3 linked regions of the Rhinolophus ferrumequinum genome follow. The protein of the gene in region 2 purifies or fractionates together with the protein of the main gene of each other region. This does not show direct contact. Links are inferred from orthologs where the notes say so. Each region holds a gene or a part of one and is shown on either strand. Other genes may lie near its edges.

What was found.
Region 1: the proteins of CDK2 (region 2) and EP300 purify together in Homo sapiens (affinity purification with mass spectrometry; 3 studies listed by BioGRID and IntAct, counting the BioPlex papers as one, with this or other methods). This does not show direct contact. The link is inferred for Rhinolophus ferrumequinum from reciprocal best matches to the Homo sapiens genes CDK2 and EP300.
Region 3: the proteins of CDK2 (region 2) and TFDP1 purify together in Homo sapiens (co-immunoprecipitation; 4 studies listed by BioGRID and IntAct, with this or other methods). This does not show direct contact. The link is inferred for Rhinolophus ferrumequinum from reciprocal best matches to the Homo sapiens genes CDK2 and TFDP1.

What each region holds. Positions count from the first base shown.
Region 1 is NC_046293.1:6,788,590-6,792,334, forward strand, and holds the start of EP300 (histone acetyltransferase p300), read right to left. Parts: upstream 2,711-3,745; 5' UTR 1,503-2,710; coding exon 1,409-1,502; intron 1-1,408. UniProt on the Homo sapiens protein: Functions as a histone acetyltransferase and regulates transcription via chromatin remodeling. Acetylates all four core histones in nucleosomes. Histone acetylation gives an epigenetic tag for transcriptional activation.
Region 2 is NC_046293.1:55,368,908-55,372,652, reverse strand, and holds the start of CDK2 (cyclin-dependent kinase 2), read right to left. Parts: upstream 2,813-3,745; 5' UTR 2,591-2,812; coding exon 2,475-2,590; intron 1,765-2,474; coding exon 1,687-1,764; intron 1,581-1,686; coding exon 1,460-1,580; intron 801-1,459; coding exon 630-800; intron 142-629; coding exon 40-141; intron 1-39. Other genes in the region: melanocyte protein PMEL, read left to right, coding at 3,293-3,313, 3,516-3,648. UniProt on the Homo sapiens protein: Serine/threonine-protein kinase involved in the control of the cell cycle; essential for meiosis, but dispensable for mitosis. Phosphorylates CABLES1, CTNNB1, CDK2AP2, ERCC6, NBN, USP37, p53/TP53, NPM1, CDK7, RB1, BRCA2, MYC, NPAT, EZH2.
Region 3 is NC_046287.1:56,001,596-56,005,340, forward strand, and holds the start of TFDP1 (transcription factor Dp-1), read left to right. Parts: upstream 1-1,165; 5' UTR 1,166-1,352; intron 1,353-1,363; exon of another isoform or gene 1,364-1,516; intron 1,517-1,582; exon of another isoform or gene 1,583-1,847; intron 1,848-2,236; 5' UTR 2,237-2,299; coding exon 2,300-2,311; intron 2,312-3,745. UniProt on the Homo sapiens protein: Can stimulate E2F-dependent transcription.

The sequences.
Region 1 (3,745 bases), about 49 Mb from region 2:
TACAAGCCTGAAGTAGAGGAACTCTGCAAAAATCCTTAGTTTTTGCTGATTATCTTAAACTCGTAACACATTTTTCTTATAAAAGCAAAGAAACGACAGCATTTGCCATACCCTTACATTTTCACCCTTTAAGATGAAGCCTACTTAGAAATGTGCTGAAAAGTTCTCTACAAACTCAAAGGGTACATTTAGCTCCATTAAGTACTCTCACTGGCAGATGGAGGGATGACGTTGAGCTTGTTCTTGGGGAGTTCAAGAGATGCTCCGTAGTAAGGGGGGGGGGCGGGGGAGGGAATCTTGTGGACGGTCAAATGGCCAGCCATTCTTCCTCTTCATTATCCTGGCACCCCAAACAACTATGACAGCAAAAGAGAAGGCCGGTGGTCATCAGGACAGCACCAAACTAACTGTAAGAAAGAGATGATGGAAGGAAGTCTCCCGGACTATCTCTTGTGAAAGGGCTATTCCACAAAGAATTCGTAGAGATTTTTTTAAACTGAAATCTCCAAATATGTTTAAAGCATAAAAAGGCAAAAACACACAAACAAGGCACATTTTAAAGTTGTGTACCATCAGTTCATGGTTGGGACTCTTTGAATTTCTATCTTGATTTCCAAGCACTTCACTCCACAAAATCAGTATCTCCCCCCACTGCCCCCCCAAGACAAAGTGACTACGAACTGCAAAGAAAATGTCCCTGCTCTCTCCCACCTGAAAACCCAGAGTTTCAGACATTTTGGTCTCACACCAAAGAAATGGAAGATGTAAAATGAACTGCGCTCCATATTGATTCTTAAAGCAAAGGAAAAAAAAAGCTAGGAATTGTAGGTAAAATCATTCAAACCAAATTTCAGGTTTTGACGTTAAACCTCACGTCAAACATGAAATCCTGGAATCACACCCACTAACAAATAAAACCAAGATTTTTTTTTACACCTTCATCTTTAACAGAAAATCTTGTGCAAAAAAGAGAAAATCTTGAAAAGGAAGAGTAGAAAGTAGAGGAAACAGAGTAAGTGCAACCAAGGCGAAAGGATTCGCAATTCCTCATTTATCAACAATAAAAAATTAAAAGTAAAATTGCATAAAAAGCCCTTACCCACAAATGCATTGGCATATCCAAAATCAAACTGCATGGAAACAATAAGTGCCATTTCTATATCACCACTCAAGAGCTCTAATTCCAGAACACATATCGATATGACATAATGTTGCAACGAATGTATTAGGAAGCAAAGAAAATGGTTGGGCTACTGGACGTCTTCGACCAGCTCATTCAAACACCTTTAAAATTAATCGAGAGAGAGAACTAGGAAGAGAGAAAAACGAAGAAAATATGGAAGAATAAAGGTCCACCGAGCAGAAAAGATGAAAGGGGATGTGGGAGGAGAGGACTCCCGAGACTAACCTGTGCCATCGCTGGCCGACGCCGAGAGGGCCGGAGATGAGAGTTTAGGCCGCTTGGCTGAAGGCGGCCCCGGTTCCACCACATTCTCGGCCATTTTTAATTCTTTCGGAGATACAGGCGAGGAAAACGAGAATTCTCGGGAAATCTCTTCTTCAGCCCGGGATCCCCGCCCCGCTCCCTGGGGTGGGCCTGGGGGGCTCCGCCAGCCCCCGAGGGGGGTGGGGGAAGTTCCTTTTTCTCTTCGCCGGGTCGCGGTGGCTGTGGAGGGATGCGGACTCGATAGAAAGGTAGGGGCAAGTGCGAGGGGCCGGGCCTGAGCCCAGGCCGGGAGGAGGGCACAGGAACACAAATCCGCCGAGCGCGTCCGCTGCGGCGAATTCCCGAGAACTCGCGGCTCTAGAGGAGCAGTCCCCAGTCCGCCACGGCCGGCCCCTGCCCAGCCGAGGTCTCTCGGAGCTCCGCCGCCGCCATCAGACTCTTCCTCCTCGGCGCTGTCCTCCTCCTTCTCATCGCCACAAGGAGGCGGGGGCGAAAAGGGGGGAGAGGAGGAGGCGACAAGACACACTCACCTCCTCCCGGTGCCCCCTCCCGGACCTGCGCCCCCACCCTCCGAACCCTCCTCCTGCTGCCGGGCTCCGCGCCGCCGCCGCACCGGCCCCTAATGGCCGTAGAGAGCTCGCCGGAGCCGAGAGCCAGGCTGGCGCCGCCGCCTCACATCGCGCGGCGGGCGGCGGAGGAGCGGCGAGGACGCCGGGCGCGGAGCTCGCCGGCCCAGAGGGCCGAGGGGGCCGGGCCGAACAGTGCCGCCCGCCCGCGCCGACGCCGAGTCCACCGACGAGGCCCCGCTCCGGAGGGTGGTGCAGGCGGCCTCCCCTCGCGCCGCGCTCTCTTTCGCCCTCCTCTCCCGCGGAAAATAAATAAATACGGCCGCCTCTCCGGCCCCCACCCCCGGCGGCCAGGTGCCGGGAGCGCCCGCCCCCCAGGGGCTCCGCTCGGGGCCGCCCTCGGCGGCGGGCGAAGGCGCCGCGGGGCGCGGGGTTATGTAATGGTCCCCCCTAGGCGTCGACGCCGGCCCGGCTCCGGGGCCGCGGTGGGGGTGTGTGCGGGCGGGAGGGGGCTGGGGGTCGCTTCAGCCCTTGCGCCCCGGGCCCCCTGCCACTGTCTCGGCCCCTGCCGCCTCTCTCCGGCCCGGCTCCCCTCCGCACTCTCGCTCCCGCAGTTCGCACTCAGTCCGACGTCCCGCTTGCCCACTCTCGCCCGCTCCCTCTCGCCCTCTCTCCCCCCCAGCCTAGCACACAAACAAGATGGCGGCTGTTGTTTCTTCCCTCTGTCGAATCCTCCTTACGGGCTAGCGGTAGCAGCGGCGGCCGGAAATGAGCCAAGGGGGGGTGAAAAAAAGGGGAGGGGTTGGGCCGCGGGAGAGAGGCGGTGAGGGGGCGGGGCCTGGGCCCGAGTCGCTCACACAATGGGGGAAGAGGACCCAGGGGCGTGGCCAGTTGCAATCACGGGATCCGCCCAAGGCCCCAACGCGGTTGGCGCTTCCGCAAACTCCCCCGGCGTCACCCGGTGGCTCCGTTTAAAGGGGAGGATTTGAAGGGGGGTCGGGGGCGGACTCGGGACCTATTTTCAGTCGGTGGACACTTACGGGGGAAGGTGCCGGGGTTGGGTATCTGCGTAGGGGACCGGTGCGGAGCGGGGGTGACGGAGGCCGGGAGCTACGCCAGGGAAGGCGCCAAGTCACCGCGCAGGTGGCGGAAAAGGAGCGCAGTGGGAATGGCCCTGCTCCCCAGGCTCTTGGGCGGTCGGTTTTTCGAACCCGGTTGAACCCACAACTCCCGAGTACCCCGCCGCCCGGTGTTCCTGGCCAAAGACCTAATGCGTCCTCTCTCCCCTCCATCGCTTCCCCAAAAGGAACGGGTTACATCCCAAAACCACACTGATTACAAGTTGTTTCCTTTTTCTCTGAGTTTTACAATTTTTTGACAACGAGTGTGTATTTTGATAATTAGAAAACAAAAATCACAGCAGTTGGAAGACGTTTTAGGACCTAAATTTGTTTCTTGCCCACCACGTGTCCACACGCCCCTACCAGGTATCACTGACACCAAAGGGGCCTTCAATTATTTTTCTTAACTCATCTGGGACCTGAGAACATTTTAGGGCGTTTCTATTCGCCCACCCCCAATAAACCAGCTTAATAAAAGACGCCGTTTAGGCAGTGCCTTAAAGATAATGTAATTATGGAAAAAGCAAAAACATAATGTGCTAAAGGTAATGTAAGGATGGAAAGAAGCAAAAATAAAGTGCGCTGTGTGAGACAGTTTTGCAGAGGAGGGC
Region 2 (3,745 bases):
GAGGAGTGGGCTGGGTGGAACTCAGGCATGCCTCCGTACCATCTCAGCAAAGATGCAGCCCAGACTCCAGATGTCCACAGCTGTAGAGTAGTATTTGCAGCCCAGAAGGATTTCAGGTGCTCGGTACCACAGGGTCACGACCTGGGCACAAAAGTAGGAAGGGGAGGGGTGGCGTATCGAGCATGGAGATTCCCACATCTCAGTTCCCCGATACTACCCTGCTAACTCTCAGCCTCCTAACAGACTTCTTTCCTTCCATCCTTACGTTCCCTCTGATCTCCCCTAAGTAAAATCATTACATATAACTTCTTACGTCAGAATGAGCATAGCCCATGGTTCTGGGGACCATATTTTATGAACCCCCAATTTGTGACTTTTCTGGAAAACTTGAGACAAGTGGTCATAATTTTAATAATGTGCCATCCAGCTCTCCTGGCTTGGTTTCTATCAAAGCCCAGTTAACCCCACAGTATGAACTCTGTGCATACTCTAAGACCTCTCGAGGTGTCAGAAATACTTTCCACCTAGTGAGAGAGAAACTGCTGTCCAAATACTTTTAGTTATTTTAGTGAATGTCCTTGTTAACACCTCCCAGGAAGAGCAGAGAGGAAATGCAGAGAGGGACTGACCTCGTGGGTGTAAGTACGAACGGGGACTCCAAAGGCTCTGGCTAGTCCAAAGTCTGCTAGCTTGATGGCCCCCTCTGCGTTGATAAGCAGATTCTGAGGTTTGAGGTCTCGGTGCAGGACGCGATGAGAATGGCAGAAAGCTAGACCCTGGAGCAGCTGGAACAGATAGCTCTGACAATGGAGAGAGAGAGGACTGTGTTTCTTTATTACACTGAGCAGATTAGGGTCTGCTCTGTGCCTCCAAAGCTCTACTAAAGCCTCTACTATGTTAGATTATAATTACATGTTTACAAGCTATTTCTCTCATTGGACTGTCAGCCCAGTGAGGATAAGAACTAGGTCTTACTTAGTTTTGCATGTCTTTTCCATTTCCTGTGCCTAGTACATTGAAGGTGTTCAATAAATGTGTGTTGAATAAACATTTGTTGACAGATTGAAAGTAGCTCAGGGAGTAAAGAACCCAGCCCTAAAACAGATAGACTCACTGGCTATTTTTCCCACCAAACAGGTGGAAGGGCTTTTTTGGAGGAATGTACCAAGTGCCCTCAAGTCCCATTTATCTGAGTTTCATCTGACCTTCTACCTGAGCTGCTAAGTTGACTCACTAGAGTTTCAACTTCTTTAATTCTCCTGCCCAGCCCTAGTGTTAATAAGCATAATGTGCAGTGAAAGAGCCATAAAAGAAAGGTGTGTGTGTGTGTGTGTGTGTGTAGAGGATGGAGGTCTGGGAAGGAAACCAAGATTACAAATCACCACTCAGTCTGAATTGCCTTCAGCCCCCCACCTCCAAGACATGCTTGTGTCAGGGAAGAGTTGATTAGAAGAATTACCTTGATGAGGGGAAGAGGAATGCCAGTGAGAGCAGAGGCATCCATGAATTTCTTGAGATCCTGGTGCAGAAACTCAAAAACCAGGTACAGTTTGTTTTCCGTGTGGATAACATCCAGCAGCCTAAGGAAGGGAGGTCCAGGAATGGAAATGAGGGAGAGAAATGCCCAGCTACACAGACAGAAGTCATCCTCCTTTACTGTCAACCACTTCCCAGGTATATACTTACTTGACAATATTAGGGTGGTTAAGTTCCTTAAGCAGAGAGATCTCTCGTATGGCAGTACTGGGTACACCCTCTGTCTCACTTGGAGAGGTTGGGAAAGCAGAGATGGGAATGTGGTTACAAATATTCCTTTTTCCCCAGCCCAGTCACTCTTTTCCCCCCAAGGAGACACCACCCCAGCATCCCCTAAGAAAGTGAGAGAACAAAAAGGGTGCTGTAGGAATTCATTCACGTGTGGACAGTAAGTCGCTTTGGGACGTATTAAGGTCATTATTTCTTTTTTTCCCAAGGGTAGGTAAGTAAAGCCTCCTGGTGAAGGGGAAGAGAGAAGGTAAGAGAAAAAAAAAAGGGAGTAGCAGCACCTAGCCTCCCTTGAGGGGCCAGTGAGGTTCAACTGCCATTCTTTTGAAAGAGGGACAGAATTCTAAGATGAGGGTGGGGTTGGGGCAGTAAGGAGGGCTCTTTATTCAGAAAGGTACTCTTCACCGGTTCCCACAAAACCCAACTCCACGGGGAGTCCTGGACCCTATGTCAAGAGGCCTCCTTCCTCTTCCTTACTGCACATTAGGGGGCATCACTCGGTTTTGGGGAGCAAATTTCCCACGACTCGACAGTACCCTATAATCTCCAGAGGGAAACCCTCTACAATCCTCCAACCCACTTCTCCCAATTCAAAAGAAGTCCCTCCCTGCTACCTTCCGGTCCCTGGACTGCTACCCGCCTGTTGGGGTGGGGGTGGGGGGCACTCAAGGAGCTCCCGAAGTAGGAGTCCGGGTATAGAGGCCACTCACGTGTCCAGGCGGATTTTTTTAAGCGCCACCACTTCTCCGGTCAGCTTGTTTTTGGCTTTGTACACAACTCCGTACGTGCCCTCTCCGATCTTTTCCACTTTTTGGAAGTTCTCCATGAAGCGCTAGAGAGTCGGGTCAGCCCGGCCCTGGAGCGGGGACCTGGGAACCCTGCAGAAAGCGGGCCCCCGCTCTCGGGGGCGGAGGAGGTAGAAACAGGGCCCCGCACCGCGGCCCCAGGTCCGGATGGAACGCAGTATAGTTCTTGCTCTTGTCAATTTGTCCAACTTGAAACAATGTTGCCGCCTCCCCGCCAGTTCCCTACCACCACCGGAGGCCCCGCCTCTCCTTCCCGCGTTTCCCTGGCTCCGCCCCTAGCATTTCCTATTGGTCAACGTCAAAGAGGACGGGGCTAACCCAGCGCCCCTCGCCGCAAATGACCCCGCCCCGCGCAAGTTCGGTTCTGTGCGGCAGTAAGACAAGTTTCTACCTCCGAGACTAAGCACTTTTTTTCAAGTACCTGATTTAGGCTCGAGTTTTCTACCTGTGTCCTGAATTTGTAGGGATTTCCTGATCTCTCCGTTTTCACAACCCTTAGGGAAAATGTCTATCGATCTAAGATTAAATTCCACCTGGCCCAGGGGTCCTCGTTTGAAAAGCAGGAAGCTGGGAATCTCATTGTAAGGGTTTCCTGGGCCTCGCAGGAGCCGTTGCTTCAGCCTCTCAGCCTACTCTGATGCTGTCTCTTTCTGGATGAAGGGTCTCTATTTCGGCCTTTTTAAGAGTTCCTAGTTTGACTAAACAGATTGATTCACTCTCCCATGATGAATGGTTTGCGTCTGGTACGTGTTGCCTTTCAGTCAATTAATTATTTTTCAGTCGAGATGAGAATGACCTACTGAAACCAGAAACTGAATAACGGGATGTCCAGGGACCAGGATCCCTTGTCAGTTCTGCCTTTCTCTGGTCCTCTTGCCCCGCCCAGGCGTCCTCTGGAAGGAGCGGAGGAAGGGCTATGCAAATGAGCACCCCTTTCTTATATAGGGGCTTGTCCTAGGCACCCCCACCCCCAGCACCTTTGGTTGCTGGAAGGAAGACAGGATGGATCGGATGCAGAGAAAATGCCTTCTCCATGTGGCTGTGATGGGTGCTCTTCTGGCTGTGGGGACCACAGAAGGTGAGTGTGGAGTGTGTGGATGTGAATAAATGTGAATTTGGGGTTGCACACCTCTGCTTTTCCCTCTTCTAATGGTACATACTGGCAACACTTCAGG
Region 3 (3,745 bases), on a different chromosome or scaffold from region 2:
AAGGTGTTAACACGTTAAGTGGTGCATTAGAAGCCGGAATGGGTGTGATCAGCATAAAAGTGGTTAAATTGTGAAACCATGCTAGGTGGGGTGTAATGCAGAGAGGTCTTTGCTCTGTGCTCAAGTCCTGAGACATTAATTATGCCCTGGCTCACTGCGCACCACAGCCTGGTGCAGCCCTGAACTTTGGACTTGACTCCCAGGCCTAGCCTCTGGGGCTTAATCCTCTGGGGGCTGTGGGCTCCAGGGGGCACTAGTCACCTGGGCTAAGGGTCCACCAGGCCCACGCAGTGATAAGGAACAACCTTGCTGCCCGGTTTACCTCCCTACTACATGAAGGACCATCATCTGGGCACAAGCCAGGCGTTGATGTGGAGGCTCCAAGTCCAGCAGAGGCAGGTGGACAGGGCTCTGCACTGCATACGCACACATCGTACCTTCCACGCACCTGCACACTCATGGGCAGCCTGCCGTCCTTGCGCACATACATACACATGCACTCACCCAAACACACCCACGTGCACAGCCTGTCTTTCTCCTCGAGTACACATACACTCGTGTGTGCACACACCTGAACTTTCCTCCACGTGTCCACACAGCCCCCTTCATCCCTCATGTGTGCACATCTGCAGGTGCACAGAGCAGCCCCCTCTCCGCTGTGTATGCACATAATACCTGTGCCCACAAAATCTGTTCACTTCTGCCTTTGTGCACACACCTGGCCACCTCTCTTCTTTGCGTGCACATGTGCATATACACCCAGTTCCCTTTCCTGTGTGCATATACACCTGCGCACACTCTCAGTCAGCCTCCCACTCATCTGTGTGCGCATATTCACAGGTGCACACACGAGGCTCCTCTCCTCCGTGTGCACAACCCCTGACCCGTCTCACATGTGCGCACGAGTGTTCACACACATTCCAGCCTCTGTCCCCGTGTGCGCACATGTGCACATCCCACCGGCTTTTCTTCCCCGCGCGCGCACCGCCGCGCACTGGCGCCAATCCCTGCTCGGCGCGCACACGCACAGCCCATCCCCCTCGGAGTCTAGCGCGGGCAGCCCGGGCGGGAGGAGGAGGAGGAAGAGGGAGCCGAAGGCGCGAAAACGCGCGCAGGCGCGCTGCGGGAGCCGGGCCGCCCCCCACGTCACCGCGCCGCGCACGTCACGCCGCCCGACGCCCGCTCGGCAGGGTGAGCCCCGCGCCCGGCGCCTCGCAGGGCAGGACCCTGGGCCGGAGCGCGCGCCGGGACTGCCCACGTCTCTGTGTCCGCGTGTCCGAGCCCGCGCGTCCGAGCCCGCGCCCGCGCCCTCGTGCCCACCCCCGCGTGTCCGTGCGCCCACCGCCAGCCAGGTGCGGCAGGCAGGGGGCTGGCGAGGGCTAGGGTCCCGGGAGGGGCGCGGGCACGCGGGGCGCCCACTGGTCCCCCGTCCTCCTTCCCTGCCGCGTGTGCGCGCCCCTCCCGGCTCCCCGGCCTCCTGCCCCTGGTCCTGGGCGCCGCCGTCGGGGGCTCCCAGGTGACTCGGCCGTGGGGTCGGGGGTCCCGGGTCCCCCTTGGGGCCTGCAGGTGGCCTTCAGGCGGAGCAGCAGCACCGGCGTCTGCACCCGGTGGGGGTCGGGGTCCGCCGGTGCGCAGGGGGTCTAGGGGTCCGCGGTGCGCGGAGGCGGCGCTGACCCGGACTTGGCCCGCCCGACTGCCGGTTCCGGCGCGCGGGAGGCGCTCGCGACGAGGCGGTCGCGGCCTAGTGACAGGCCGGAGGCCGGACCCCGGAAGCCCACCTGTCAGAGTTACCGGCCGGCCGGGTGGGCGAGGGGAGCGACCCAGCCGGGACCGAGGCACTCCTTGGGGTGCGCATTTGCGCAGGGACAACGGTGCTGCGCCTGGCGGGGGGTAGCCGGGTGTCCTTAGTTGCGCCCAGGTTGCGCGGGCGCAGGCTGGGTGCCAGGCCCGACCGGGTGCCGGGTCTTTGTGTGGGCATCGGGGAGGACAGGGGTCGTCAGGGAGCCAGACTGGGCATCCTATTGTTGGATGCATTTCCCTTTGCTGAGATGACTTAAAATCCCAGGTTGGGGGGTGGGGGTTTGCCAGCTGCGCTTTGAGGATGCAGTGTGGGTTTGGAATGGAAGGTGCCTGCTGCCTGGAGGGGCAGTCAGATTGCTGGTGGTACTGGGGGAAATGTTGATATTAACTTCTGGTTTTATTCTTACTTATTTATTTTTCCTTCCCTCTTTACCAGAAAAATCATTTTTCTTCTCTGGAGGGTGAACATTTATAGCATCGATTTCACGGATCTGGTAACATGGCAAAAGATGTAAGTATGTTTGCTTGGTTTTACAGACAGATGTTTGCCTAGCACTACACTCTTTGTAGTTTTCCCATTTTATTTCAGAAGGACGACACAAACTACAGTACTGTGTATTTTCAGACTTTTAAAGCACATGAAATAGGATAAAGATGAAAGAAATTTATTAATAATAGCTTTTATGGAAATGTGTGTGATTTGCTTCAGCAGCTGGGTTTTCAGTCTTAAAACACTGGGTGACAAACACTGCATGAGGCTATACGGTATCACTGACTTTTTCTTCTTTTCAGAGGGTATTAACTTACAATTTTTAATATCTTTGTTGAAGAACACACTGAGTTGGGTGAGATGGAGGGCTGGGCCCAGGGTGACTGGTGGTGTGACCCTGAGCACCTGGTTTGTGGAGAGTGTAGGAAGTTAATTCAACTTTGATGGATAAAGTGCTGAGTGCTTGTTTTGGCCACTTTTTTCTCAGAAAAAATCTTGGTGGTTAATGAAACGAACCCTACTTTAGCTTGTTTTGTGTTTGTCATGAAACACTAAAGTATAGTGAATAATTTTTTTAACTTGTTCCAAGAACTAAGCTTTTGGATCTAAAAATGTAGACTATTTTATTGGTTATGTAGTTCTTACCACACTTTGTCATATCACTTAAAGTCATGGAAACCCCAGTTCTGTCCTTCAGTGTTTCTCAGAATGCGTTGTTCTGTAAGCCTTAGTGAGAAGAGGCTGTTTATTTATTTACTTACTAATTGCACAGAGCTGGAAATGTGGCTCAGATAAACTGCATCTGCCTGAAACAACTAGAGGTAGTAAAAATGTGTCTGTAACCAAAGAATAGAGGCTTTCCGCCTTTCCATCAGTTCAGTGGTTTTAGTATTCTCTAAAAAGGCTGAGTGAGAGCCTCCTACACTCTCCCGACTGTCAGGCACGCACTCACGTTTGCTCCTGTCTTTCCATGCTGGGTTTCATTTGGTAGAGAGTGTATGAACACACAGTTGCACCCTGTGTGGTGTGTTTTAAGTTAAAGTTATAATCCGTATATAATATTAGGTTGATTTTATCACGTCTAATTGCATTTGTTGATGGCCACATCCTGTTCTCTGGCACATATACACCAAAGGGGCAAGACGGGTAGTATGTGCTCACAGCAGAATAATTAGGGATCTTGAAGAGGGCGCTGCTGTACCCCATGCTTCTGTTAGAGTGCAGTTCTGGGGTTGTGTGTTTCAGGGAATCAAATTTATTTGCCCTTTTTTATTAACCAACTAGAGGAGAGGGAGTGACTCCGTGTTTGAGAGACTCGCTTTGATTCCCTGCTGGCCTCGGGGATGTAAAGACAGATAGTAGAGGCCACTGCCATCTGGTTGCAGGAAGAAGGGCTTGGTAAACAACCTTTTCCGACATTCACTTCTGGAGAAGCAGCCCCTGCAAAGTGCGGGG